Drosophila melanogaster: one gene and its partner. The protein of the gene in region 2 interacts with the protein of the main gene of each other region in a pairwise test. Each region holds a gene or a part of one and is shown on either strand. Other genes may lie near its edges.

Region 1 (3,947 bases), 4.4 Mb from region 2:
AGTCCAATGATCGTCATTATCTGAGACATCTTCATCACCTGCGCAGTCTTGTCGCGAACACCTACTACAGTCTATACAAAGTGAAGCCATTAGAAGATAGCCTGTGCATCGTGGACAAGGAGGCCACCAGTAAGGCTCTGGGATTCCAAGTGCCTGTCTATGGCGGTTCCTACACAGAAAGGGAGTCCTTGAAACACGGTGACCTTCTCAAGCAGATTTACTGCTTGCGTCGGGAATTTAATCAACTGGAGAAGTGTCTTAACAATAGAACACCGTATTCATACGTTAAGAACAGAACGGCACCCTTGAATCTTCACATTTCACGAGGAGCACCTGTTCAGAGCCTGCAAAGCAGCATGTTTGCCTCGGAACCAATACTCATTCTGCGCCTTCGCATCCTGGACACATTTGAACTCGACCCTGTCTGGCAGTCTGCGCCAAAGTGCCAGTTGGAAAGCAAGACACTATGCTACCTGCCACCAACAGAAGACGAGGCATTCCACACCGCCCAGCAGCGCTTTTTCATTGATCTCCTGGAAGAAGTAAAGAAATTGAAGCCCGACAGCATTGTCTTCCACAAGTTCCTGTTTCTCACCCATTACGCGGCGTCGCTGCTCTTATTTCTCATAGAGAGCGTTTATCAGGATTGTTGTTTTAATAGCAATCAAGCGCAAACTCTCACGTTGAGTAAGCTAAAAGATACGGCTAACAGTGCCTTGGAACAGGTGCTGGAACTTCTTAAGGACGAGCAGGCGGGGGCCATTCACAGCCTGCTGGACATTAAGGAGCTGCAGAAGAACCAGTTCAGCAAGGCCCTCATTCAGCACAACAACAGCATTGTAATGACCTGCTTCCGTAGCATGTTGGGCGAGGAATCATTTCCCATGCCCGTAGCTCCGACATCCAACTCAGATGTCGGTTCCATCCAAGAGTCGGCAGCTGTATTTTAACATAACGAACATGTATTTCTCACTTGCATCAAATTACAGTGCTACTTTTACAAAACTAGGTACTCTGCCGGGGAAATATCTGCTTAAATGTTTTCTGAGGATAGTTTTTCATGGATCAAGAATGAAAATTAAATAACTAACAGAAAAATCACAAGACTAAGGGGTAAGGGTACACATGGGTTGTGGACTGGCCCACCTCCTCCAGCTCTACCTCCGCCTATCCGCTAGTCGGCCGGACGTTTTTCGCTGTGCTTCTTGGTGTAGTCCTCGGCGTTTTTCACGAATTTTTTGCGATCCTTAAGAAACTCCTCGGCCAACTCCGCCCGCAGCGGATGCTCCGGCTCAGGGTCGTTGATTAAGTCCACCAGTGCCTGCACGACCTGGTCGGTGCGTGTGGCCGGTTTCCAGTTCTCCGTACTGATAATGGGCAAGCACACCTGGCCCTTCTCATCGATGTTTGGATGGTAGATGCGTGTCTTAAAGTTAATCTTGGGCGGCTTGAAAGGATACTCCGCCGGAAAGTTGATCTCGATGCGGAAGGCGCCCTTGTTGTACGGCGGATTGTCCGGGACAATCAATCCCGTCCAGCGCAGCAGGTTGTCATCGTCCGCCTTAATGTCCCGGAAGGACTTCAGTGCGTTGCCCTGCAAATCGCTCAATTCTTTTCGCAGGCGTCGCGGCGCAGTCATCGTGATGTCTATGTGTGGGTTCTCTTATGCTGGTGTGTGCGTAGGTGTGTGTGGAACGGAAAGAGGAGGGGGCCACCTTGCCAATGTGTGCGTGTGCACTTTTGTTTGCCCTTGTGTGAGCTGCAAATCGATGGTTTTGTCTTCCGGATATGTAATACTCTCGTTCAGCCGCCGGTGTTTCGTTGTTGGTGAGCTCCTAGTGCTCCAGTTGCGGGGTGTCACCTTTGGTTTTCGCACTGGCCCAAAAAAATCCGCACGTAAGTCTGCGAATTTCGCTGAAAATGGTTCGTTGAAGAATCTTCCAATTAGCGTTAGGGTATTTTGCAGACTTGCTCGCAACGGCGCTGCAATTGGTATACATATACATTGGTCATGTATAACTTTGTCTTGATTTTGCAACTTGCAACGGCTGTAATATTATGTTTAATACTAAATAAATCTTTATTGGAAAGTATTTATTATAGATGTATATTTTAAGAGAGGTAACAAATGAAAATAAAAGGGTTGCTGTTTCCAAATGGATTTGTAACCGATTACCAGCAGCAGTGGCGGCAAGCCAATCGATAGGCAACCGTTTCAGGCGATTCCCATCGCTATCGCTGACTGCAACACGTGCGCCGCGTTAGTTTTGTTTTTACCTCAAAATGACCAAAAAACTAGCTCTGAAACGCAGAGGAAAGGATTCGGAACCCACAAATGAAGTGGTGGCCAGTTCCGAGGCTTCCGAAAACGAGGAGGAGGAGGAGGTAAGACCCATTGACAGTGATATAAAAAGTCATTTCAAAATGACCTGCATGTGTGTTTGTGCTCTTTAAGGACCTGCTGCAAGCTGTAAAAGATCCCGGCGAAGATTCAACAGATGACGAGGGCATAGACCAGGAATACCACTCGGATTCCAGTGAGGAACTGCAGTTCGAGAGCGATGAGGAGGGCAACTACTTGGGCAGAAAGCAATCTTCATCAGCTGAGGAAGATGAAGAAAGTAGTGATGAAGAGGATAATGAAGAGGAGGAAAGCACTGATGGAGAGGAAGTGGAAGATGAGGAGAAGGATTCCAAGTCAAAGCAAACAGACGATAAGCCCAGTGGAAGCGGTGCCGCGTCTAAAAAAGCCCTTACAGCAGAGCTCCCGAAACGGGATAGCTCGAAGCCTGAGTATCAGGATTCAGATACCTCCGACGAGGAGGACATAAGAAATACTGTAGGCAACATACCCATGCACTGGTACGACGAATACAAGCACATCGGTTACGACTGGGATGCCAAGAAGATTATTAAACCACCACAAGGAGATCAAATTGATGAGTTCCTGCGTAAGATCGAGGACCCAGACTTTTGGCGTACCGTCAAGGATCCACTTACCGGTCAGGATGTGCGCCTAACAGACGAGGACATTGCTCTGATCAAGCGCATCGTTTCGGGTCGCATACCCAACAAGGATCACGAAGAGTATGAGCCCTGGATCGAATGGTTCACATCGGAGGTGGAAAAGATGCCCATCAAGAACGTACCCGACCACAAACGCTCTTTCCTGCCCTCAGTTTCCGAGAAAAAGCGCGTCTCTCGCATGGTGCACGCCCTCAAAATGGGCTGGATGAAGACCACTGAGGAAGTGGAACGCGAGAAGCAGGCCAAGCGCGGTCCCAAGTTCTACATGCTGTGGGAAACGGACACCAGTCGGGAACACATGCGCCGCATCCACGATCCAGTCTCTGCGCCCAAACGCGACCTTCCCGGTCATGCCGAGTCCTACAATCCACCGCCAGAGTATCTTTTCGATGCCAAGGAGACCAAGGAGTGGCTTAAACTAAAGGACGAGCCACACAAGCGCAAGCTGCACTTCATGCCACAGAAGTTCAAGTCGCTGAGGGAGGTGCCCGCATACTCGAGATACCTTCGGGAGCGTTTCCTTCGTTGCCTGGATCTTTACCTGTGTCCCCGTGCAAAGCGTGTCAAGCTGAACATCGATGCCGAGTACCTTATCCCCAAGTTGCCCTCGCCGCGTGACCTGCAACCCTTTCCCACGGTGGAGAGTATGGTTTACCGTGGCCACACCGATCTGGTGCGGTCTGTTAGTGTGGAGCCCAAGGGAGAGTACCTCGTCTCCGGTTCGGATGATAAAACCGTCAAGAGTAAGTACTAATTTAATTGACAACCTTTTAGATATCTTCTTACTAATCCATCTCACCTCACAGTTTGGGAAATTGCAACAGGTCGTTGCATTCGCACAATCGAGACCGACGAAGTGGTACGCTGTGTGGCTTGGTGTCCAAATCCCAAGCTGTCTATTATTGCGGTGGCCACTGGCA
Region 2 (11,029 bases):
CGGATGAGCAGGAAGAGCCGGAAGAGCCGAAAGAGCCGGAAGAGCAGCAGAAAGAGTTCACTGTTCGGCAATAAAAAGGGTAAAAAATAATAGCAAAAACATCATCGAAGACTAACTAAGCACATCCAATCTGAATAACAACGAAATCAAGGAAGATAAGTTGGAATATAGCTCGTACTCAATCACTAAAAAAAATAAACTCGGCTCAAAACCCAAACTTGAAACTTGAGTGAAAGCTTATCCTTAAAACACTCAATCCAAGCTTCGTATGAGCTTCTCCAAAGCTTTAAGCACAAGACCCAAATCGTAAGCTTGCAGCCCACAGTCGAAAAGTCAGTTGAATAGTTGTATATCTAGTGTAAATTTAATTCAAATTCAGTCGCATAAGCATACATACATAGCGTAATCCTAGAATATAATTTATGATTCAGCTTACAAAGTTAATCGAGAATCGAGTGAGAATCAAAAGGAACGGGATCGGGGACGGGGAGTATCTATCTTCGTTCTTACTTAAGACTTTTGCGTTCGATTGATGTGCTGCGATTAGTTACGAGATACAGATTGCGAATACTTGATGCTGTTCACGCGGGGCTAATACAAGGTTTAAAACTTAGGGTCTAACCGATGAGCCGATCTGCTTAGGCGGTCTTTGATCTATAATTGCTTGACTTGCGGCGCTATACATTTAGAATTGTTACTGTTTCTGCATTTCATCGGGTCGTTTGGGCTAGTTTTTGGAAAACTGTTGGAACACTTGGCCACTGAAATGCGTCTGGTTTGTCAGTTAGTCAGTTGCTAGATTTAAAGTTAGTTTTATAGTTATGGTATAGCTACCGGTATCGGTATCGCTAGGGCTTTAGCTATAGATACTGTATATCGTTAACGTTCTGCGCAAGGCGTTGTATTGCAGTTACACCGATCATTTTGAGTGATTTCGAATGTCACAACTATAGTAATTATACTTCGAGTAGTCGACTATGCTCTATGCTACGTTTTCTAGTCTATATGCACTTGATTATTAGTTTAATTTAAAAATTAGCTACACGTCGTTGGGCCTACTACTAGATGGATACATGTAAATATGTGTATAATTTAATTTAAATAAGCGTCTCTATACTGTCGCGTCACGTCGACCTGTCAGCAGTCAATCAAAGAGTGTTTGTGCTAAACAAGACAGGCTGTCCGTTCTGGTGGCCCTGGAAGCTCGACGGTTGCCTATGCGTCCACTGGGAAGAAGTCTTTCAGTAGCGTGGTGCGGCGCTTTTCAGCGATGTCCATTTGATTCTCGAGATCACCCAGGTCCGTTGTCTCGGCGCGCTCTATCTTCCACGACAGATTCTCGATTTCGGCCTCCAGTTGTGCCTGCACGGAATTAATACATTATTGGGCAACCAGTTAAAGAATAGCCGAACTGCGACTCACCTGCTGGTACTCAAAGAGATTCTTTCGCGAACCGGCCTCCATGTAATAGGCGTACGGATAGGTGTACTGCAGCGTGTATCGACACTTGGCCAGCAGTGCCGCCGCGTTGAAGAGGTATTGCCAGTCGATCCAGGTGCCGCTGCCGTTCATCACCTTCGAGTTGATCCGCTGGCGCAGCCGGTCGATCGTCTGTTGCTCGAGTTTCAGAGACTTGGAGTGGTTCTCCCAGCGCTCGTAGTAGTGCAGGTACTTCTTCAGCGCCTCGCGCGCCTGCACGTGCACCGACTCGTTGGCAATGTTGGGGTTGTCCTTGTAGCGAGAGCACTCGTAGTACTCGGAGCCGTGCGTCTTCCAGTCGCCCAAGCACATCCAGCAGAAGTCGTGCTTGCAGTTGAAGCACTGCATGTGGTTGCAGCCGCCGTTCTTCTCAATGCAGATGTGACACTTGGGGCAGTCTTTGGTGTGGGCGCTGATGTAGTTTGCCGTTTCGCTGTCGTCGGCGCACTTGGTCAGCCACTTCTTGATCACCTGGCAGTCGGTGGGTGCGTGGTAGTCCATGCCGCACCGGAAGCAGAAGCCCGTGTGGCAAGCCTTGCAAATGGCACGTTTGGCGGAGATCTCCGATGATTGCACAATAATCTGGCAGTTGGGCCCGGGACAGAAGCGGAGTTCCGGGTGTGACTTGACGTAGTCCTTAAATGCAAACTGCTGGTACTTGTCCCGCATAACGGGTCGCGTGACCAGCGTCAGCACCAAGTCCTCGGGCACCCTAACATTACACATCTGGGCCATGCAGCCGATCTGCGTGGAGATTCCCTGGAAGATCTGCGTCTCGAAGTATATGGTCCAGCAGTCCTTGCAAAACGAGTGCCCACACGCCAGGCTGTAGAACTTGTCGCCCAGCTGCGAGCTGGCACAAACGGGACACATCTGGCTGCGGTACTGTGGTGTCGCCGATGCCGTCGTCTTGTACCCGCTGCTCCCCAGTCGGAGCAGTTGGGCACTGGCCGCCGCTGCACTCGTCGAAGCCGTATCCGTCACTGCCACCGATGGCGGCTTGATTCGCGCCGTCACCAGCAGTGCATTGGCGTCCTGGCGGTACTTTTCAACGACGGCCACATTGTTCCACTGGTGCTCCAGCAGCAGCACCTTGGCCAGCGAGGGTGTGATCTGCAGGATGGTGTTCAGCTTCTCCACGCGCTCGTTCAGCAGCTTCTCGATGTCCTCGACGGTTAGGCACTCGTACTCAAAGTACTCCGGGTCGGCCCGCTTCGGATCCAGACGCTCCACATCGCAGTCCTCGCCTGAAGAAGAAAAGGATATTAGTATTATAATATAATTGAACTTTATAACATTTATAAATCATAAATCTATTATGCTTTGATAGGACAGTTTCCACTTTTTCTTTTGGTTATTTAAGCTAACTGATTGTATTTTAAACCAAAATCAGACTGAAAGACAGCAAGGGTGGATTTCAAACGAACCCTGAGTTAGCAGTTGCAGTTATATACAATAGGGCACTTTTAATCCCTTATTGTACAAAACTGGTTCCAGAGTTACGAAGGTTGAGTTGAGTTTGTAAGTTAAGCAATGGCTGACTTACATTGATCGGTTGAAACCGACGAAACATTATTACTTTGGGAATATCTTCTATGTTAATCTGACATGTATGGATCAAAAGGGATTACAGTGTATGCAGCCGGTAATCATGTTTGCATTTTGTTAGTCACATTGGCTAATTCGAGAAAACAACCGCGCGACAAGGCTGCCATAGAAGTGCTCGACGTTACGATGTTACCGATATGAGGTATCCGATTGAAGGTTGAGTTAGGGGGCGTCTTGGCCAGGTCGGAACAATAAGGGACAGGTCAAGAAGCGGAGACCGAGTTGACGGAACAGCGGCACACAACAGAATGCAACTGCGTACTTGAGCACGCACCTGAGCTGGTGTTCGTGGTGTGTGTGTTAATGTGTGCTTGTGTGGGTTGTGGAGCTACGAAGAGCGTGAGCAGAGTGGCGGGCAATAATGAAGCCAGCCACAAAACACAAGCCTCGCAATCAGTCCCAACTCGCAACTACCAATTGTACTTGCCCATGCACTGAGAGAAATCAAGTCTTTAGTAATATTCTTATATTATTTTGCCCCTTTTAAATCAATATTGATTTGAGTTCATGTTATAAAACCATTTGAAAATCAAGCCCTATCACATAATTCTCTAAATTGAGGTATCAAATCATCATTAGAATTGCTTTGGGAAATGTACCAAATGTAATCATTTAGTTTGGCCTAGATTTGACATTTTAAAACTAAACATTTATCCTATTACACAGTGCAATTTTCTCGCCGTGCAGCTACGTGCGTGTGTGTTTGTTTCAAGTTCAATTCCATAATTTAAGCTTCATGGTCAGCGAAGAAGGGCGGAGATCAAATGGGGGGTGTGGGGTTTGGTCATGGAACCCAAGGCGAATGTCAAGTGCTGAATGCAAATTCCCAGGTCTTGCGGGCCTCCTTCCGAAAAGGTGAATAACCAAACCAAGAGCCCGACATGTGTGTGTGTACTTCCTCACAGATACACTCGTACCCCTAATTTGGCCACAGTTAAATCGATGGCCGATTGTTGTCAGGGGGAAGTGCCCCTCTAGATCAGGTACTAGTTTCCACTTACCTGTGTTGTAGTAGTCGTAGTCGTCGTCGTACTCCCCGTCGTTGTCCGATTCCATATCCATTTCGATGTCCGAGTCCATTCCGGCGGATTGGCGCTTAAGATTTGGGCCTCAGATTCGGGATGTTTGGTTGGGAATTCGAGTTTCTGGCGAGGACACTCACTGCTTCCGTGTGAGTGTGAGTGCGGGGTGTCTTCTCTCTTGCTCTTTTGTAACAGTTGTTGTAAGGGCGCTGGTGGTTGCTGTTGTTGTTTTCGCAGGAGGTGGATGATGGACCCAGAGAGCGGGAGGGGCGGTGGATGCGGATAATGGAAAGTGGCCGATTTAGCGCGATGCAGTGCCACCGATTCTGGTTAGGGTGATGAACTTTGCGGGGTGGCTATTCTACGGCGGGGGGCGGTCCCTTGTTTTATTTTCGTTTATCAACATGCATGTGTACACACACACACGAGCGCACTCTCGCTCTCACGCACACACACTCGCACAGCCGTTGCACTCAACTCAAGGTGTTTTTTCTACTTCGCCTGCAGTTTATTTTCATTTTTCGCTATTTATAGAACAATCTTATGCACCACTGACAATGCACTAGATGCACTGACTTTTTGCGTTTTTAAGCGAGCACAGCTTTTGCAGAGAACATTTTGTTCTTTGTCTTGTCCGAACCTATCGGGGCATATCGTTCTTCGATAGTTCGATGTTTTATTACTCTTCTTCTTTCAGTGCGACCACGAAGCAATCAAATCAAATACCAAAAATATACCAACAACATGTATTTTTTTATTATCACATTAATTCAACTTTTTCTTCGCGATTATTGATGCAAAACTATTAGTTTCAACAGAAAACTGGCAATTTGCTTTACTATTTTAGATTACAAATTTTAAAACTAAAAATTTACAAATATACTGGTAGCACTGACTCGCGACTTGTGCTAAAAGCCAAAATACCGAAATCATTTAGCACACAGGAGTGCTCAGAAACAAAACAGCTGTTCAGCTTTTGAGCGGCTTAGTTTGAATTTTGAATATGATCTAAATTACTTTTTGGTCAGCTGGGTATGTTTTTTGGATATGGAAATCGCTTTTCTTGCCCGACATCACCTAGATGCATAAATACTCCCCAAAAGAAGCAAGACCGGAGAGAAAAGCATCTGGAACAAGTTTCATTTTCTTCTCATCTCCCTCTTTTTTAATTTTCTCGGCTTTTTCGATCGCTCCGTTATCGCAGCCCACCAATAATGATTGGAAACCACATATACTTGCAAATAAAATGTCTGATTTAAGCCTAAAGGAAAGAGGATAAAGTATGATCCTCAATAAAAGTAATCATTGAACTTACGAGTTTCCAATGACAAGCGTCTTTTCGGGCTTTATTTCGCCAGACTTCATCAACTTGCCCAAAATCCGCTGATTCGGTTTGCCCAAAACGATAGGCTTGCGTTGTACAATTATCTCGATGGCAGAGGCCAGAGATCCGGCATCTGGGATCCTCTTTTTCCCAAATGGCTGGAATCCATCAATGCAAGTGGTAAGGAACAAGACTTTGGGATTTTGAAGATAGTTGCAGGCCACAAGCAACTCGTTCGCTATCATGTTGTCGTCTCTGGCCACCAAAACAGCTCCCACATCCGGATCGAGAACTAAGCTCCTGACGAAGTCGATTTTTTTCTGGTCATTTGGCTGCAGATCGTTTACCACGGAACAGAATCCGGCCTCTTTCAGATCTTTGCGGATACCGTCACCACCCAAAACGAGGATTTTCTTCTTAAACTTCCGGTCGCTAAGGTAACTCGCAATGGCACCCGACGAGCTGAAAATGTCCTGCTCCTTGACATTGAAGCCCAGGCACTTGGCCTTCTGGAACAGATCCTTGTTTGTTAGGCAGCACTCGTTGGTGGCTATGAGACATCGCTTTCCCTTTGAAATTATGGCATTGAATGCCTCTACAGAGCCCTCAATGGGGGTATTCTCCTGCCACAGCACCCCATCCGTGCTGCAAATAATGGTGTCGATCCCGGCCAGCCATTCGGCCACCTTTGCCTTCGGCAGCTTGTCCAGATGGCTTAGACTGCGCCTTAACATAATACAATTTTGATTAAATTTAGAATGTGAAATATTAAAATTTTGAGTACTTTATGACATTATTTTCAAAGATTAAAAATTTCATATTGCCATATAAGAGTATCATAAAATAGCAAGGAATACGAAAAAGTTTATTTGGCAAAAGTAAAGTGATACTATATAAAAATGTTTTCTTTCTAATAAAATCTTCGGCCACGAGATGCTGTCGAAAATACCACCCAGAGTGAAAGCGCAAAAATGCTGTGATAAGTTAGCTACACGTTCTACTAAGATTAGGATCATAATACTCTTAAAGATCTTTATAACCCCAAACGTGACTGAAATGGTTCAGAATGCTCGGTAAGTTCTTTGCAAAGGTGAGTCTACCATTTTGGGAATCATGAGAAAGACAAATGGGCAGCGTATTTGTAGCTTTTGAAGTAACGAAGGTCAAATAATGGATCCCAACGAACCAAAAGATACGCTTTAGATGGTGGAAAACGGGGTATGATAGTTGAATAGCTTATACCCTTTCCTTGCCTACCTAACTGGGCACCATGCTAGACAGAGCTGATATTATGAAAGATACGACATTCCAGACGAGATATGCCCAGAGGACCATAAACCTAAATTTAGGCATCTTTGTCTGGGAGCACAGTAATCAAGGTATATAAGTCCGTACTTTTCGGTAAATTCGGTGTAGTAAGTGATATTTCATCAGCAGCAGAGCAATTAGATATGGGTTCCTCCCAGCGGCAGTTAGTACTCCCAATCCTGCTCCTTCTGGCCTTGGCCGGAACAGCACTGTGTGGAGTACAGGAGGTGCACAACGTTCTGGAGTTGACAGGACAGGCAGCGAATAAGTTGAAGTTTTCCACGGATGTGGCTACCGAAAAGTACACTCCCCCGGAGGAGATGGATCCCCAGTACTGGTACAACATCGCCGACGAGGAGATCACCAAGAGGCTACAACTACCACAACCCAATTCCCAGAAGGCCAAGAACATTATTATGTTCCTCGGAGATGGCATGCCTCTCTCCACCGTTGCAGCTGCTCGCATCCTGAAAGGACAACGACAAGGAAACACCGGTGAGGAATCCTCCCTGAGCTTCGAGCGATTCCCCTACACGGGTTTGAGCAGGGTGAGTTGTGGTTAACTAACTGGTAACTATAAACTAGCTAAGACGAAACATTATCCCTGCAGACCTACTGCTCCAATGCCCAAGTGCCCGACTCCGCCTGCACTGCCACCGCGTATTTGTGCGGCGTAAAGACCAACATCGTCAATATCGGAGTAAGTGCAGCAGTGGAATACAATAACTGCACCGCCAGCCAGGATCCCGCGAACCGCCTGACCTCCATCGCCGAGTGGGCCCAGAATGCTGGAAAGTCCACTGGTATTGTGACCACCACCACCCTGACCCACGCCAGTCCTTCGGGAGCATATGCAAAGACAGCCAACCGCATGTGGGAATGCGACACGGATGTGACCAGCTATGGTGTGGATGCCAATTCCTGCATTGACATGGCCACCCAGCTTGTCACCCAGACGCCCGGCAAGAACTTCGAGGTCATGTTCGGCGGCGGAATGGGCAAGTTCCTCCCCAACTCCATCGTTGATTCTCACGGAAACCCTGGTGAGCGATCCGACGGAGTGAATCTGCTTTCCCGCTGGCAGGGACTCCACGATGGAGGCGTCTTGGTCACCAATCGCAATCAGCTGCTTAAACTGAACGTGTCAGCAGTGTCCAGTGTCATTGGTCTCTTCCAGTCCAAGCTAATGAACTTCCACTTGGAGGCTGATGACACCTACCAGCCAACCCTCTCCGAACTCACTGAGGTGACCATCAAGAAGCTCAGCCAGAACAAGGAACACGGATACTTTGCGTTCATTGAAGGTGGGTTTTTCACGAAATAATCTTTTTATTAAGTATTTATATTCCGAAATATTTGTAGGTGGTCTAATTGACTATGGCAACCACTACACCAAAGCTGGCTATGCTCTGGATGAGGCCCTGGAATTCGAGAAGGCCATTCAGTTGGCCCGTGACATGACGGACATCGAGGACACTTTAATTGTGGTGACCGCTGATCACGGACACGCCGTCAGCATAGCCGGCTATCCTGGCAGAGGAACACCCATCCTGGGAATCAATCAACATGACACCGACATCAACGGAGTGCAGTACTCGGTTCTGAACTATGCAGCTGGACCCAATCAGTATCTGGATGAGAACGGACAGCGCATTCCTTTGGACGATATCCTTGGCTCGGACGACGCCATCACCCCCAGCTACATTCCCAAGGATCAGGGCGTCCACTCCGGCGAGGACGTGGGCATATTCGCCTCCGGACCTCAGAGTCACCTCTTCACCGGAGTGATGCAGCAGAGCACCATTCCCCATCTGATGGCATATGCTGCGTGCATTGGAAGCGGAAAGCAGGTCTGCGACAACTAAGAAGGCAGAAAAATCTGTTTTCAATGTTCGCCAACAACTTCTTTCTGTAATAAAAATGTAGCACACATAATGAATGTGTGTATGTTTTGAATTAATTAATTAAGATACTAGAATGGGTAGTCTTGAAAAGCCCTATGGAAAACCTGGTCCATGGAAAGAGATTTTAATCAATATTGCCAATGAAGACATAGACAAAATATAACCCCAAAATATAACCTTCAGATCTTTGTAGGCTTGGGTTCAAAAATTAAACTATGGCGAGTGTTGCCATATGCTTTTGAACTGGTAGCCAGCCTATTGGCTGAATTACCCCTTATAACCATAAACCTTAATGACTTAAGGATTGTGTAAATATAAACTGAGATTTTTCGGAGACAGTTAAGCTATCTGAGAATATGGCACGAAAAGACGACAGTTAAGATAACATTTATCTTATATGAGTCTACATTTAGACGCGTGTAAAACGTTTTATGCAATCTGAACTATATCCAATATGTTGAATAATATTTTCGATAATTTCATCAACCAATTCAAAAAGAGAAATTTTGGTTTAGGGTTCTGGGGTTTCGGGCTCTAAGTTGTTGTTCTTTATAGTGTGCAACCATTTCAACAACAACTTGTTCACGCGACACGTTTCCTGTAGATTAGGCTCGTGAGAGTTGGATCATCATGGCCAATATCTTTACGAACGCAAACGTGACTAAACTAATTCAGATAGCTGGAATAAACATTTGCACAGGTGATCTCAGCACTTTAGGGATAATAAGCTCAGCCAAACGAAAGTCGAGTGATCTCATAACCCATTACTATTACAACGGGTAGTGGTTTTATAGAGGGATGGTCATGTCACTTACAGCTGATCTTCCTAGAAGTCGGGAGTACCAGCAGAGATAAGTCCAAGGGGTATAAAGTGGGAATAAACCTAATTTTAGGTATTCCTTGTTTTGAATGCAATAATCCGGTGCAGGGCATATAAGACCTGGAAATTAGACGGGATCGTTGTAGTTCGTTCGGTATCACTGCAGTTGTAAGATGCACATCTCCCAGAGGCGCTGCCTTTATCCGATCTTTCTATTCCTGCTGGCCTTTGTTGGCACAGCACTCGGTAGAGTCCAGGAAGTGCACAATGTGTTGGAGTTGACGGGTCAGAAAGCCAGCAAGCTGAGGTTCTCCACGGACGTGGCCACGGGCAAGTACACTCCGCCGGAGGAGATGGATCCCCAGTTCTGGTACAAGCTCGCCGACGAGGAGATCGCCAAAAGGCTTCAGCTACCACAGCCCAACTCCGACAGGGCCAAAAACGTGATAATGTTCCTCGGGGATGGTATGCCAATTAGCACAGTCACAGCTGCTCGCATCCTGAAAGGACAACGCCAAGGAAACACTGGGGAGGAGTCCTCACTGAGCTTCGAGAAATTCCCCTATTCGGGATTGAGCAGAGTGAGTGTTTGCATAGTACCATAGACCAGTAGTAATGATAGCAAAAACAAACCTTAACCTTTTTCTTTATCATGGTGAAGTTCACAACGTGTGCCAGGACCATAAAATCCCCACATAAGTGCTTTATTCAAACAAAAATATTATCTTTACAGACCTACTGCGCCAACGCCCAGGTTCCCGACTCAGCCTGTACTGCTACCGCTTATCTGTGCGGCGTTAAAACCAACATTATTAATATCGGAGTAAGTGCAGCAGTAAACTTTAACAACTGCACCGCCAGCCAGGATCCCGCGAACCGCCTGACCTCCATTGCGGAATGGGCCCAGAATGCCGGCAAGTCCACGGGATTTGTGACCACCACCACACTGACCCATGCCAGTCCCTCTGGAGCATATGCCAAGACGGCCAATCGAATGTGGCAAAGCGACACGGATGTGACCAGCTATGGAGTGGATGCCAGCACCTGCGTCGACATGGCCACTCAACTGGTGACCCAGACGCCCGGCAAGAACTTCGAGGTCATGTTCGGCGGCGGAATGGGCAAGTTCCTTCCCAAAACCACGAAGGATAGTCACGGGAAATATGGCGAGCGATCCGATGGCGTGAATCTGCTGTCCCGGTGGCAAGGGCTCCACGATAAAGGTGTCTTGGTCACCAATCGCAAGCAGCTGCTTAACTTAGACGTTTCAGCTGCATCCAGCATAATTGGTACCTTCCAATCGGGCTTGATGGACTTTCACATGGACGCTGATCCCACCTATCAGCCCACTCTCTCGGAACTCACCGAGGTGGCCATCAAGAAGCTCAGCCACAATGAAAATGGATACTTTGTGTTCATAGAGGGTAGGTTCTTCTTTGAAAGTATATACCTCTTAAATATATACACTAACAACAAGTTTGAATGCATTTTAGGTGGCCTCATTGACTACGGCAACCACTACACGCAGGCGGGATACGCCTTGGATGAGGCCCTGGAGTTCGAG

Evidence for each region. Proteins that work in one complex are often made in the same cells at the same time.
Region 1: the proteins of ari-2 (region 2) and Ubc10 interact in a two-hybrid assay, tested with the Drosophila melanogaster proteins (2 studies listed by BioGRID).

Annotation. Positions count from the first base shown.
Region 1 is NT_033778.4:17,787,464-17,791,410, forward strand, and holds Ubc10 (ubiquitin conjugating enzyme 10), read right to left. Parts: upstream 1,948-3,947; 5' UTR 1,640-1,947; coding exon 1,175-1,639; 3' UTR 951-1,174; downstream 1-950. Other genes in the region: aft (adrift), read left to right, coding at 1-950; CG5033 (uncharacterized protein), read left to right, coding at 2,284-2,385, 2,456-3,770, 3,834-3,947.
Region 2 is NT_033778.4:22,206,579-22,217,607, reverse strand, and holds ari-2 (ariadne 2), read right to left. Parts: upstream 4,774-11,029; 5' UTR 4,168-4,773; coding exon 4,089-4,167; intron 2,727-4,088; coding exon 1,423-2,726; intron 1,363-1,422; coding exon 1,216-1,362; 3' UTR 344-1,215; downstream 1-343. Other genes in the region: CG30278 (uncharacterized protein), read left to right, coding at 1-90; CG11291 (uncharacterized protein), read right to left, coding at 5,187-5,370, 5,425-6,167; Alp8 (alkaline phosphatase 8), read left to right, coding at 6,885-7,289, 7,352-8,045, 8,104-8,606; Alp2 (alkaline phosphatase 2), read left to right, coding at 9,639-10,046, 10,199-10,889, 10,959-11,029.